Linked DNA regions of Coturnix japonica. The protein of the gene in region 1 interacts with the protein of each later gene in a biochemical or structural test. Links are inferred from orthologs where the notes say so. Each region holds a gene or a part of one and is shown in the gene's direction. Other genes may lie near its edges.

Region 1 (3,646 bases):
CAAGTGTGTACTTTTTAATTGACTGGACTATGATAAGTAGTTAAAACAAAGTACACAGATTGCAAAAGAAAAATGTTTTGTAACATATTACAAAGTAAATTACACTATATATATATATATATATATATATATATATTATTACAAAGTAACGTATTACAAGTAAAATATTTTTCTGTAGTAAATAGTTACAATTGCAGCCTTGTAAAACTAGAATCATTCTCCTATCCTATCTAGGCAGATAATACACATTTTCATGTTTTTCATATAAAATTAGTAATGCTGTCCCTGACATGAAAAGAGTTTTGTTAGTTATCGCCTTTTGGCACTATTATAGTCCAGGTGTACAACTGATTACTCAACTAAGAGCACATGAAACAGGCAAAGAAAGCAGGCAGAGAAGATTTAAGTTGGATTATTTTCTTATACTCCTTGAGTTCACTGAATTTTGATAATCTAAGAGGGTACTTTGAGGCAGAGATATAGATCATGAGACTTGTTGGACATTTTAAAATATAAGAGCATAAAGAGGATAAGAAGTAGTGTTAAAACTACCTCTAGAGTTAAAAAAGTCAGTAGAAAATAATTTTAAGCAAAAGAAAAGAGTTAAAGATTTGAAGTAGCATTATGAGGCATAACACAGAGGCATGTGAGAGCCATCAGTGACTGTATGTAATATAGATTGCAGTACTTAACATTTTCATTGTACTGGGGCACACCTAAACAATGAAACTAAATTACAGAAATGGTTGGCCATAAATAAGCACCAATGAACAATTAACTATTCTTAGAGATTGCCTTATAGAAATATATTTATTGTAACACTTTCTTTGTTTGCATAACCTTCACTGCAGAGTTAAGCTGCTAATCACTCATGGAATATTGAATTACAAGAAATAGACCAAGAATGTTGAATTTATTTATTTGCACATGAGCATTTTTACTCCCCTGAAAACAGTAGGAATAATGTAATTCACTTATTTTCAGATGGCCAGCAAACACTAATGAGAAACCAGAGACAGACAACTGGGATGCCTGGGCAGCTCAGCCGTCTTTGACTGTTCCCAGTGCAGGGCAGCTGCGGCAGAGATCAGCCTTCACCCCTGCCACTGTTACAGGATCGTCTCCCTCTCCTGTATTGGGTCAGGTGAGCAGCTGTGTTCACTGGAACTGTTCTGAGCCAGCATGAACTTCTGGATAGCAGAGAGAATATTTACAATTGAAATCCTTCCCTGAGTGTGCAAACTATGACAGTTTAGAGTGATAAAAGTATTAGAATACACCCATTAACAAAGTCAGTGGCAGAATCTAACACAAACAAGCAGCTGTTCTTCTGCAGTTCTTTGCTGGCTTTTTTGAACTACAGTGGTCCCATCTTAAAATTTTGGCTGGGTGCTACTTTTGAATCACTTCCTTTGGGCTTTATTAAATCACATGGCAACAGTGTTTGTTCCAGAGTGGATTATATGGTTAAGTGGTGTAGATGAGATTAAGCTTCACATAAGATGAATTCAGTCCATCTGTAAGAGACTGTGCTTTCCTCAACTTGGCTCATCGTTCTTGTAAGCTAATGTGTTGTTCTGATAAATGCAAAATACCTAAGTGTCTTTGAGCAAAACTAAAAAGTAGGAATATGCAATGTATTACTAGCAGCAAAGCATAGTTTTCCATAAAATTTACTTCAAACTCTTTCAAAATAACTTTGTCACGGTTTATTGTATCTATATCTTAATTGTTGAACTTACGAAGAAGCAAACTCCCAAATAGTCTTGCATTGTAGAGATTACACATTAACAGAAAGAAATGTAGGAGGGCTGTGGGCGTTTCTTGTATTACTTTGTAATTTTGACTGACATATTTTGCTTTATACAGATGAGAAGTCACCATATTTTGGGGCTATATAGATTGTATAAGAATGTAACTCCTTAAGAAGCTGCCTTTATGAAAAGTGTTGCAAGGCTGAATTCTCTCTCTTTTTTCTCTAAATTGCATTAGGGTGAAAAGGTGGAGGGACTTCAAGCACAGGCTTTGTATCCTTGGAGAGCAAAAAAAGACAACCACCTTAATTTTAACAAAAATGATGTCATCACAGTTTTAGAGCAGCAAGATATGTGGTGGTTTGGAGAAGTTCAAGGACAAAAGGGGTGGTTTCCTAAGTCATATGTGAAGCTTATTTCAGGCCCCATTAGGAAGTCGACAAGGTATTGTATATGCTTATACTGTACTTTACTTCAATACTATTTTGGTTAAATTAATGTGAAAAGTTGCTCACTTGAGTTTTAAAGTTTTGATGTGACTCTTCTCTGTTAGGTTTTTATTCCCGTCTCTGAAAATTCAGATGAGGAATATGTAAGCTGACCTCATTTCTCCTTGTACTACGCACCACCACCAATAGACCTAAAGCTTAATCAGCAGTCTTAATTAAAAGTCGCTTGCAACTAAGAAATTACTATTTTGACATTATGAGTTATAGCTGCATAAGTTTCAGCTTATCTTTTTCTCAGAATAAAATACAATACATCAGAGCTTAATCACTTATCATTATTCTTGGAGGATGAAACAATTAGAATCTAGTTCTGTGAAAGGTGAGGTCAGCATTAACATCACTGATACTGATTAGAATGTTTTTAGATTTTTTTCTCTTCTGACGGATAAGGAGAGGCAACAAATGGTGTATTCCATGCAGTTACTTAATTATAACTACAACTAGCCATCATACTTTAAAGATGTAATTTGTAAGTTTACTGTTTATTAGAAAATTTAGGGAATTGCTTAAGGATACATGTATGTGTTTTATTTTTAACATACATTAAGCATCTTCTGAAGAGATTTAATTTCTTAAATAACTGTTATTCTCTTGTAAAGCATGGATTCTGGTTCTTCAGAAAGTCCTGCTAGTCTGAAAAGAGTAGCATCACCAGCAGCTAAAGCAACTATGTCAGGTGAAGGTAAGCATTCCAGACTGGATGGCATTAGCACTATTTTACTATGTGATTAAATGTAAGCAGTCTGTGTATTAGCAAAATATGAGCCCAGGATCAACAAAACAGGCTTGTTTTAATATCAGGCTTGTAAAAATTTGTGTATGTTTTATATGCAGAAACAGTATTTGAACATTTCTTCTACAGTTTATAGTGTTCCATATGTAAATATTTTGGTATCAGTTCAGTTCCCCGTGGAACTGTTTAGAATGGATTTTTGCAGAGGGCCAGGAAAACACTTTCATGCTGTGTTTATTTGTAATTCATAGGTAATTCATGATGCGAGGAATTATTAATGAATGTCTCAGTTTCACTCAATACTCATTTCCACTGTTCCATTAAAGCTCTCTGTAACTGATGGTAGTTTCCTTATTTGAAAGTTGTGATCTGTATGGTCAAAGCTACCCCTCATTTTTAAGGACAGAGCATATGGGGTGCAGACAGATAGATAATTGTCAGGTCTCCGGAGGATTTTAAAAGACTTGTATTCTTGCTTGTTACCACTCTTCAACTGGAGGTTAATGTCTCCATACAAGTTGCGGTGACAGACTGTGGGCACTCTAATCCACTTCAGTGCAATGTCTGCTAGGTTAACTTAATCACAGTCAGAGTAAATTAATGGATCTAAATTTAGTTTACAAATTAACATCTACATAATCTCTACAGAA
Region 2 (3,646 bases), on another chromosome or scaffold:
TGCTATGTGGTGTGTCTGCTGTGCCCAGGCACCATTGCTGCTTGGTATCATTTACTGTACAGTATTGTAAGGAGCTTCCCAGCTTCCCTGTTCCTCTTCCCTTAACCTCGTCAGCATTCTACTCTGCTTTATAAGTGTTTTAGAGAACTGTTCTATAAGTTCCTGTTCCAAGTTTTTCCTGTTTTCCTGTTACTGTGTGAGAGGAAGCGGCTATAAATAGTTCTCCCATTTAAAATGTGATAATTGCTTATCTGTTTGTATCTGCTGCTCCTAATAAACGTCTTGCATCCATCTTTCCTGTTACACTTGAAGGTAGGCTGTGTTTCTGTCAAAATGTGCTTCCTGACAATCTGATGTGGTATTTGAGCCACTTCAGATTGGCTCTGAACCAGGCTGGGGCTCTAGGACATATATTCATAAAGGACATGTGCCACCTATTGGTGTGCAATTGGAGTGGCGTGACAAAGGAGCACTGGTCTCTAGTTTTACTGTCTCAAAACCTAATGTAGGGGGTAATGAGTAACCACTGTAGGTAAGTGTTAATTGCCCTTTATTGCTCATAACACAGTTTCCTTTGCAGAGCATCCCATTCTGGTTTCTAGTTTAGCTAAGCAATAACATGGTTACTCTTCCAGAGTCACTTAGGTATTAATACACTGTTAGTGGGATTGGTTTTCTGTCTGCTCGGTGCTATTTTAACATCTTCTCCCAATTCTAAGACCAGCTAAAAATCTTTTTTCATTTTTGTCCCTTTTTTTGTTTTGATTTTTTTTCACGTGTGCTCAAACTGACCTGCCAGGACAAGGACAAAGTAAGTCTGACCCTCCCTGTGTTGCCTCCTGGGGCTCCCACTGTATTTTAGCTCTTTTTTCCTTTGGTCACTGTTTTCCAGGAGACATTTGTTTCTCCCCTCTTTCTACCTCCTGTTGGATGCTGCTGTTTGTTTCTGTTCTTGATCTGAGTTTTCCTAATTTTTTTCCCCTTTTTATTTATCCTTTTTTAATATGATTTCTGGATCTTGTTGGAAATCTATTTTTGTTCTTTTGACACTTCTTTTTTTGAGTTGTCCTGCTTCATTTCCACTTCCTTTAGCTTATGTTTCTCACTAAGGCCTTCCATTACTTCATTATGCGAGATCTTCCTTGGGAAAGCTCAGATAGACAAAGGAATTTGCTCTTTCTGGTATCTTTTGTTCCCCAAAGCAAAAGCAGATCAGCAATTTCCTGCAATACTGCAAATCTGTCACTGGGATGGTTTAAAGAAAAGCTTTTTCCTTAAAATCAGGTTTCTTTGTAATAAACATTGGCCTGTTGCTTTGAGATTGATCTCCAATGGCTGAGCATTGGCAATTGCCTGCTGTCAGACAAACCTGCTCCTGGCAGACGGGACAAGTATCTCCTGCTTTGTGCAGGAGAAGAGGATTTTCAGTTGATGTTCTGGAAGGTTTTCTAGGTTATTCTTCCTGCTTGCAGTCATCTCACCTCCCCGTATCTGTTTTCTTGTTTGTATAATGATAAGGATAGAGTGTGTAGGAGAGCCTTAATTTATGGTGAGTGATTCTCAGGTCTGAAATGAATCTGGGTGTGCGAAGCACAGCTCAAATGAAGAACCTCCCATGAGGCTGTGAATGCTAGAAGTCAAAAATACAGCTTTGGGTATTCACTGGAGTCGTGGCCTGTGGACATTGGTTGGGAGTTGATGCCTTTCACCTTCCATGGGGCTGATTCCTACTAAACGAGCATCTTTAGTGTTAAAGTTTTTCAGCTCTAGAGAAAGGTTTACAAGCTGTGCTGTGCATCGACGGTCACAGCTCAAAAAACAGTTTCCTTGCATGCTCTTCCTGCATGTTCTCCCCCTTTTCTTTACTGAACTGTTATGGAAGAGGTAATTTTGTATGGTGTTTGAAGAACTGTTCTGCTTCTGCCTTTCCCTGCAGGCCAGTGAAGCGGAGGAGAATGGATCAGACAGTTTCATGCACTCCATGGATCCTCAGCTGGAGAGACAAGTGGAAACGATCAGGAATCTGGTGGATTCCTACATGGCAATTGTCAACAAAACCATCAGAGACCTCATGCCGAAGACAATCATGCACCTCATGATAAACAATGTACTTATCACCCTGACTGGTAGAGATGGGGAGAAACAGGGAGGGGGCAGAAACCTGAAGGCAGCTTGAAAGGAGGTTTGGGGTGGGATGGAGCGTTCTAGCAGATGCTGGCAGCTGATTCCCTCTGTTCTTCTCTTTGGTAGACAAAGGACTTCATTCATTCAGAGCTGCTGGCAAACCTGTACTCCTGCGGCGACCAGAATACGCTGATGGAGGAATCAGCAGAGCAGGCTCAGCGGCGTGATGAAATGCTGCGCATGTACCATGCCCTGAAAGAGGCCCTCAACATCATCGGGGACATCAACACCAGCACTATCAGCACCCCAATGCCCCCACCGGTGGACGACTCTTGGCTGCAGGTGCAGAGCGTACCGTCTGGACGCAGGTACCAGAGGCTCAGGGGGAGAGCCCCGCAGACCTGCCCGATGCCTCTTGGGGCTAGCTGGGGCCTCCCACTGAGACAGAGGGGATTCTCTGCCCCTCTTCTGCCTGTGGATGGAGAGTTGTGGGTATTTGTGTGGGGAGGCTTCTCTGCCTTGAAAGCTGCATCTTTACAGAAGGTGTGGAAGCAGACTCTTAGATATTCTTAGGTTAGATGGGGCCTGAAGTAGCTTTGAGGATAACCTGAAACCTGACGCAGCTCTTGAAAGCCAAGAGTTGTGCTTAGAGTGATACGGAACTAAAGAAGGAACACTAAAGGCAGCATATGGTGCCATCAGTAGTGATGGGGAGGAATCCCAGGCCTGTCGTTGCAGTTGAATGTCTCTGTTTGTTTGTCAGGTCTCCTACGTCCAGCCCCACGCCGCAAAGGAGAGCTCCCGCTGTGCCCCCCGCCAGGCCTGGCTCTCGAGGTCCAGCTCCTGGGCCACCTCCTGCTGGTGGGTCGGCGCTGGGTGGTGCCCCCCCTGTGCCCTCCAGGCCGGGTGCCTCTCCTGATCCCTTTGGGCCCCCACCTCAGGTTCCTTCTCGACCTAATCGTGCTCCTCCTGGTGTCCCCAGGTAAGTCCTGAAGTGCAGATCCAGGCAGGTGGAATGCTTGGTTTGGGTTCAGCCTTGGGCTGTCTGAATTTGATCCGTAGGCAGGAGCATCATTGGCCACCCAGGTACCATACAGATGGTACAGTGGCCTCCTCTCTGAACCCAACTCCATGCACAGACTGGGGGAAGAGGACCTGGTACCCAAGAGCTTTAATAAAGCAATCATAATTCTTCTGCTTGCAAGTAGTAGGTGGTCACCAGAAAATCACAGGGCTAGGCTGACAGCATACCTTTGAAGGCAGTTCCCCTCTATAGAATTGCCCAAAGCCTGTAGTTGCTCTTCTCCTGGCAGAGTTTTTTTTCAAGGTGAAGCTAGAGAGGACCTTCATCAAGGACACTGAGATGCTTTTTTGTGAGGTGAATATTGCGATAGCACTGGCAGGGAAGCACTTTTTGTAGATGTTTTTGTTGTTTCTGCAGTCAACTTGAATGTTTTCCAGCCTGAAGGGCTCAGATGACGCAGCTTTGCTTTCCCATTAGGAAATGTAACTCCTGTCCTGT
Region 3 (4,405 bases), on another chromosome or scaffold:
TCCTTCAGACAGCGGTGTCTGGCTGGAGGAAAAGCACCTGAGGCAGAGCTGTGGGGTAAAGGCAGTTCTTTCTGAGGAGCCCTATCCATTCTCTGCTGAAATGCTGGTCCCAAACGATCCTTCCAGCAACGTGCAGAGGTTTCACACTTGTCACCTTCCCTATGAGCAGGCTGGCTTCTCTGGTCTGCAAACTCCTCGTTTTTCCTAACAGGGCATGATGGTTTCCAACATCCCTGCCAGGCCCCACAAAGACGGAGCATCTTTAGTGTTATAGCTGTGCTTTTCTTGGCCATTTCCCCCCCTCTCCTCAATCTGTTCTTGTGCTGCTTGAACAGGGTGTTTGTTTATCGCTGACCTCAGCCCACAGGAGGTGCCTGTGTCTTTCTAAGGACAAGCCACAGAGCTTCCCCAGGAGCAGTGAAGCTGCCAGCAGATACCCAGAGGCAGGCGCCATCTCCTGCCTGCATCTCCATGAGCCACTCAAGAAGCAAGGCTGGGGCCAGAGCAAGCAGTCAGTATGTAGGCACTTGGCTGAGAGAGGGGCCGGGGACTGCTTCCCCCCAGCATGGCGCCCTCTGAAGCAGATTAAACCTGAAGGTACAATATTCTGCAGACAGCGTTAAATGAGGAGGAGCTGTTTCTTTCCTTGAGGGCAGAGAGGCCTTGCAGAAATATCACGACAGATTAGAGGGCCGGGCAATCACCAGCAGCATGAATTCAGTGAGAGCAAGTGCTGGATTCTGCAGCTGCGTTGGGCAGCCCAAGGTCTGTGTGCAGGGTGAGAGGCTGGAGAGCAGCTGTGCTGATAGAGATTGTGGGGTTCTGGTTGGTGAACGAAATTATTAGTGCCCAAGGGAGGGCTGCAAGGATGGACAAAGTCCTGCAGGCCAAAGCTGTGTGAGGAGCGGCTGAGGTTTGCTCAGTGTGGAGCTGATGGGGGCTGATGGCGGCTGCAGCTCCTCACAGGGAGCGGAGGGCAGCGCTGAGCTGTGCTCTGTGTGACCGACAGGGAGCGGCACGATCCTAAAGAGCAGCGTGCCCTTCCAGCTGCGACAGGTCGGTGTGCCTGTGTTTCCATAGAGGTGATGGACTCATTGCTCAGCACACCCCGCAGGGGCCGCCCGCTCAGTCCCGGTCCGGCCTCACCCGCAGGCGGCGCGCGGGAGGAGCGTTGCCGTGCGGTCACCTCCGACCCGGAGGCCGCGGCGGCGGCGTCGGTGCTGCGCAGTCGCGTTGCGGTCGTTGTGTCAGTGCGCATGCTCCGCGCTCCGCCGGTCGGTGTGTGGCGGTGTCTCAGTGCAGAGCGGGAGGCGGCGGCTCTCGCTCCGTGCTCCCGACCCCGCCCCTCGCGGCCCGCGCGCCGCGCCGCGTGACCCCGCTCCCGCCGCCCCCGCGACCTTCCGCGGGGCGACCACCGAGAGCCGGGCGGGGAATGCGGCAGCCGCAGCCTCCCCCCGCCGCTGCGGGGCTGCCGGCGGCGGCGGGGGGCCCACGGGCCTCCTGCTGAGGGGCGCCCGGCACCTCCCGCCGCGGCCTATCGGCCTATCGATCCTCCGCGCCGCGCCGAGCCCGGCCCGCCCTGCCCTGCCCGCCGCCCCTTGCGGGCCGGGCCCGGCGGCACCATGCAGGCGCAGCCGCTGCTCTACGAGTTCTTCAGCGAGGAGAACGCGCCCAAGTGGCGGGGGCTGCTGGTGCCCGCCCTGAAGAAGGTGAGGGGGGAAGTGGGAGCGGCGCTCGGCCCTGCCGGCCGCACCGGGCCTTTCCCCGTGCCTTTCCCCGTGCCTTTCTCCGTGCCGCCTGCAGCGGGGGGTTGGGGGTGGGAAGCGGCCCGGCCTCTCCGCTCTCCCCGCTCTCCCCGCTCCGGAAGCGGCCCGGGGAGCGCGCCCGGCCGGGCCCGGCGGCGCTGTGACAGCCGGGGCTGCGGACACGGAGCGGCCCCGGGTTGAGCCGGACCCGACGCCGACGTCTCCCCGCCGGTAGGATCCGGTAGGACGCCGTCATCCTCGGGCTGGTGGAGCTGACAGGCGCGGACCGACGTTGTGTGGAAGAGGGGAGGAACGGTGAGCGCCGCTCCGTCCTCCTGCAGCCGGGCCCGGGAAGTGCAGGACGTGAGGAACGGGGCTGTCTGACGCTGCCGCCCGGACCGGCCTCGGGTTGGCAGCGGGGGGGTGCTTGGATGCACCGCAGTGCTTTCTTATGGCTGCGTGTATCCATAGCTGTGAACGGCAGCTGTTGGGTGAAGGACCTGCTCCTAGGGCCGGGTGACCTCTCGTTCCCCATCGCAGTTTGGAGGTCTCAGGCACTGCAGTCGTTCCACTGCAGCATTTCTTCCCAGTTTCCTCTTGTGACATGTCACCCTGTGTTTTGGGCCTGCTCTTTGAGCCCCATCCAGTTACTGGAAGTCTTCTCACTTGTCATCCCCGTAGCGTGCTGTGTTTGTGCTTCAGTCCTTCTTGGTAGTCACTTCTTTGGAAGCACACAGCCGAGCAGACTGTGCGGCTCACAGCTTCTCCCTGCACCTCTGTGTGTGTGTGGATGGCCACCAGCTGGGGGCTGGAGCCACCTGCGGCCTCCAGGCACCTTCCAGAGGAGTGAGCTTGATCTGGGCATTCTGAGGCATGACAGTTTGTCAGACTTGGAGCAAGGGTTGATGCTGAGTAATGGAGAAGAACGCGAACTGAGGATCTCAAGGCAAAATTTAGCCTGGAATTATTCTTTGTGTTGGGAGCACAAGATCTCATCCTAACGAGCAAAAGACATTCACAGGGACACCTTGGATTAAGAACGCTTGCTGGAGGAGCTGGATGAATTGTTTAGGTGAAAGGAAGAAGAAGGGTCAGAAGTCACAAACAGCAGCCTATGGAGATAAGCTTCCACGGGTGCCAGCTGGGCCCATGAGGTACAGTTGTCTCGGTTTCATGGTGTGGTGTTCTCTGTGGTAGTGGGGCAGCTGGGCTGAGGTGGAGTTAGTTCTGAAGCTCTGATGCTCAGATGTGTGACTGTCGAGCAGATGTTAGTGCTTTGAACCTCTGCTTTCATGAGGTTTACACCTGTTTCTTATCTCCTCTTGTGCTGTTGCCCAGCATGCTCCAGTAGTGTAGTCCTCTGGTGCTTCCTGCTCCTGTCCCCATAAATACAGAAATAAAGAACCCATCCGTATTGTCACCTTCCTTGCTGAAAAGCCAGATTCTGGAGTTACAGGAAAACCAAATGACAGATGAGAACATACAGCTGTTGTCTTACTAGCTTTTTCATTAATTAAGAGGCCAAATGGAGCATTTTACTAACTTAAACAGGTACAAGTTATCTTGTCTAGTGTGCTTAGTCCTGATAACAGCCTCATAAAGTAGCAAACCTATCCTAAGCATCAGGTGCAGCCAGGAGAGCTGCGGTGTGCTTGCTCTGACAGCTGTCTGTTGTCTCTCAGGTGACAGGTGCAGCCCTGCAGTGGGTAGCTCAGGGCTGTCCCCATGCTCTGCCTCTTAGAGCAAGTCACTCCTGGAGTCTGTGTGTGGGACCAGTAAAACAGAGAGAATGTGGCAGTGAATGCCAGCAAGACCAAAGGGCAGAACCTTCCCAGAGGGAGAGCACTGTGTGCCTTTGCTAAATTGCTGCAGCACGTGCTCTCTGTGCTCAGGTTATCAGGTGCTGATGTGCATCCCGTCATGAACCAAGGAGGATTTTCCCTTCTTGCCTCCATTGAGCTGACCATGCTCTGATGCTCCTGGGTAGTGGATAACGCTTCTGAATTCCTCCTTGAGACCTGCTGGGTACCCAAACAGGATCATTGCGTTCTTCTGCATAGCTGGAAGAAAGACTTGGGAAGACCTATGTTGAATTACCGTTGCTGATTAGGAGAATGGTGTTTAACGTTGAAGCATGTATACCAGCGTGCTGCATTCCCAGCTGTTGGGGAAGGCTGCCATTACTCTTTCGTAAATACATGTTGGCTTGTAACGTGGAGCTCGAACAGCACCCCTAGAATCACTTCCTGAAAAATAGGTATTGTTGAGCAATTGCAAAGGGTTTTGTCTTTCCCAATGACTTATTTTGATTCTGTGCTTTTTGTTACCAAAAGCAAGCGTGTAGTAAGTATAAATTGCTTCTTCTGTCAATGAAGCCTTACAAGCATGTGCCATGTATTTCATTAGACATGGGCCTTAACAATGGAGTCTGTGCTGCGCTGTCTTTGCATTCAACAGCTGCATTTGAAAAAAGCAGCTTTTGTACCATTCAGATCATAATGTAATCCCTTTTCTTCCCATTCTCCTTCAGATCCTGTCAAGATAGACTTCAGTGCACTCAATTAGGAGGGAAATGATGTGCAGTGAGATGCTTCTCTGCCTGGTCACTGTTATTTTGAAGCATCAGAAGACAAAGTGTAACAGAGGCCCTCAGTTGCTGA

What was found.
Region 2: the proteins of ITSN1 (region 1) and DNM1 form a complex in vitro, tested with the Homo sapiens proteins (2 studies listed by BioGRID and IntAct, with this or other methods). The link is inferred for Coturnix japonica from reciprocal best matches to the Homo sapiens genes ITSN1 and DNM1.
Region 3: the proteins of ITSN1 (region 1) and SOS1 form a complex in vitro, tested with the Homo sapiens proteins (2 studies listed by BioGRID, with this or other methods). The link is inferred for Coturnix japonica from reciprocal best matches to the Homo sapiens genes ITSN1 and SOS1.

Annotation. Positions count from the first base shown.
Region 1 is NC_029516.1:94,932,014-94,935,659, forward strand, and holds part of ITSN1 (intersectin-1), read left to right. Parts: intron 1-984; coding exon 985-1,144; intron 1,145-1,992; coding exon 1,993-2,198; intron 2,199-2,862; coding exon 2,863-2,945; intron 2,946-3,646. UniProt on the Homo sapiens protein: Adapter protein that provides a link between the endocytic membrane traffic and the actin assembly machinery. Acts as a guanine nucleotide exchange factor (GEF) for CDC42, and thereby stimulates actin nucleation mediated by WASL and the ARP2/3 complex.
Region 2 is NC_029532.1:3,763,714-3,767,359, reverse strand, and holds part of DNM1 (dynamin-1), read left to right. Parts: intron 1-799; coding exon 800-811; intron 812-1,936; coding exon 1,937-2,107; intron 2,108-2,250; coding exon 2,251-2,492; intron 2,493-2,887; coding exon 2,888-3,106; intron 3,107-3,646. UniProt on the Homo sapiens protein: Catalyzes the hydrolysis of GTP and utilizes this energy to mediate vesicle scission and participates in many forms of endocytosis, such as clathrin-mediated endocytosis or synaptic vesicle endocytosis as well as rapid endocytosis (RE).
Region 3 is NC_029518.1:14,500,299-14,504,703, reverse strand, and holds the start of SOS1 (son of sevenless homolog 1), read left to right. Parts: upstream 1-1,505; 5' UTR 1,506-1,622; coding exon 1,623-1,709; intron 1,710-4,405.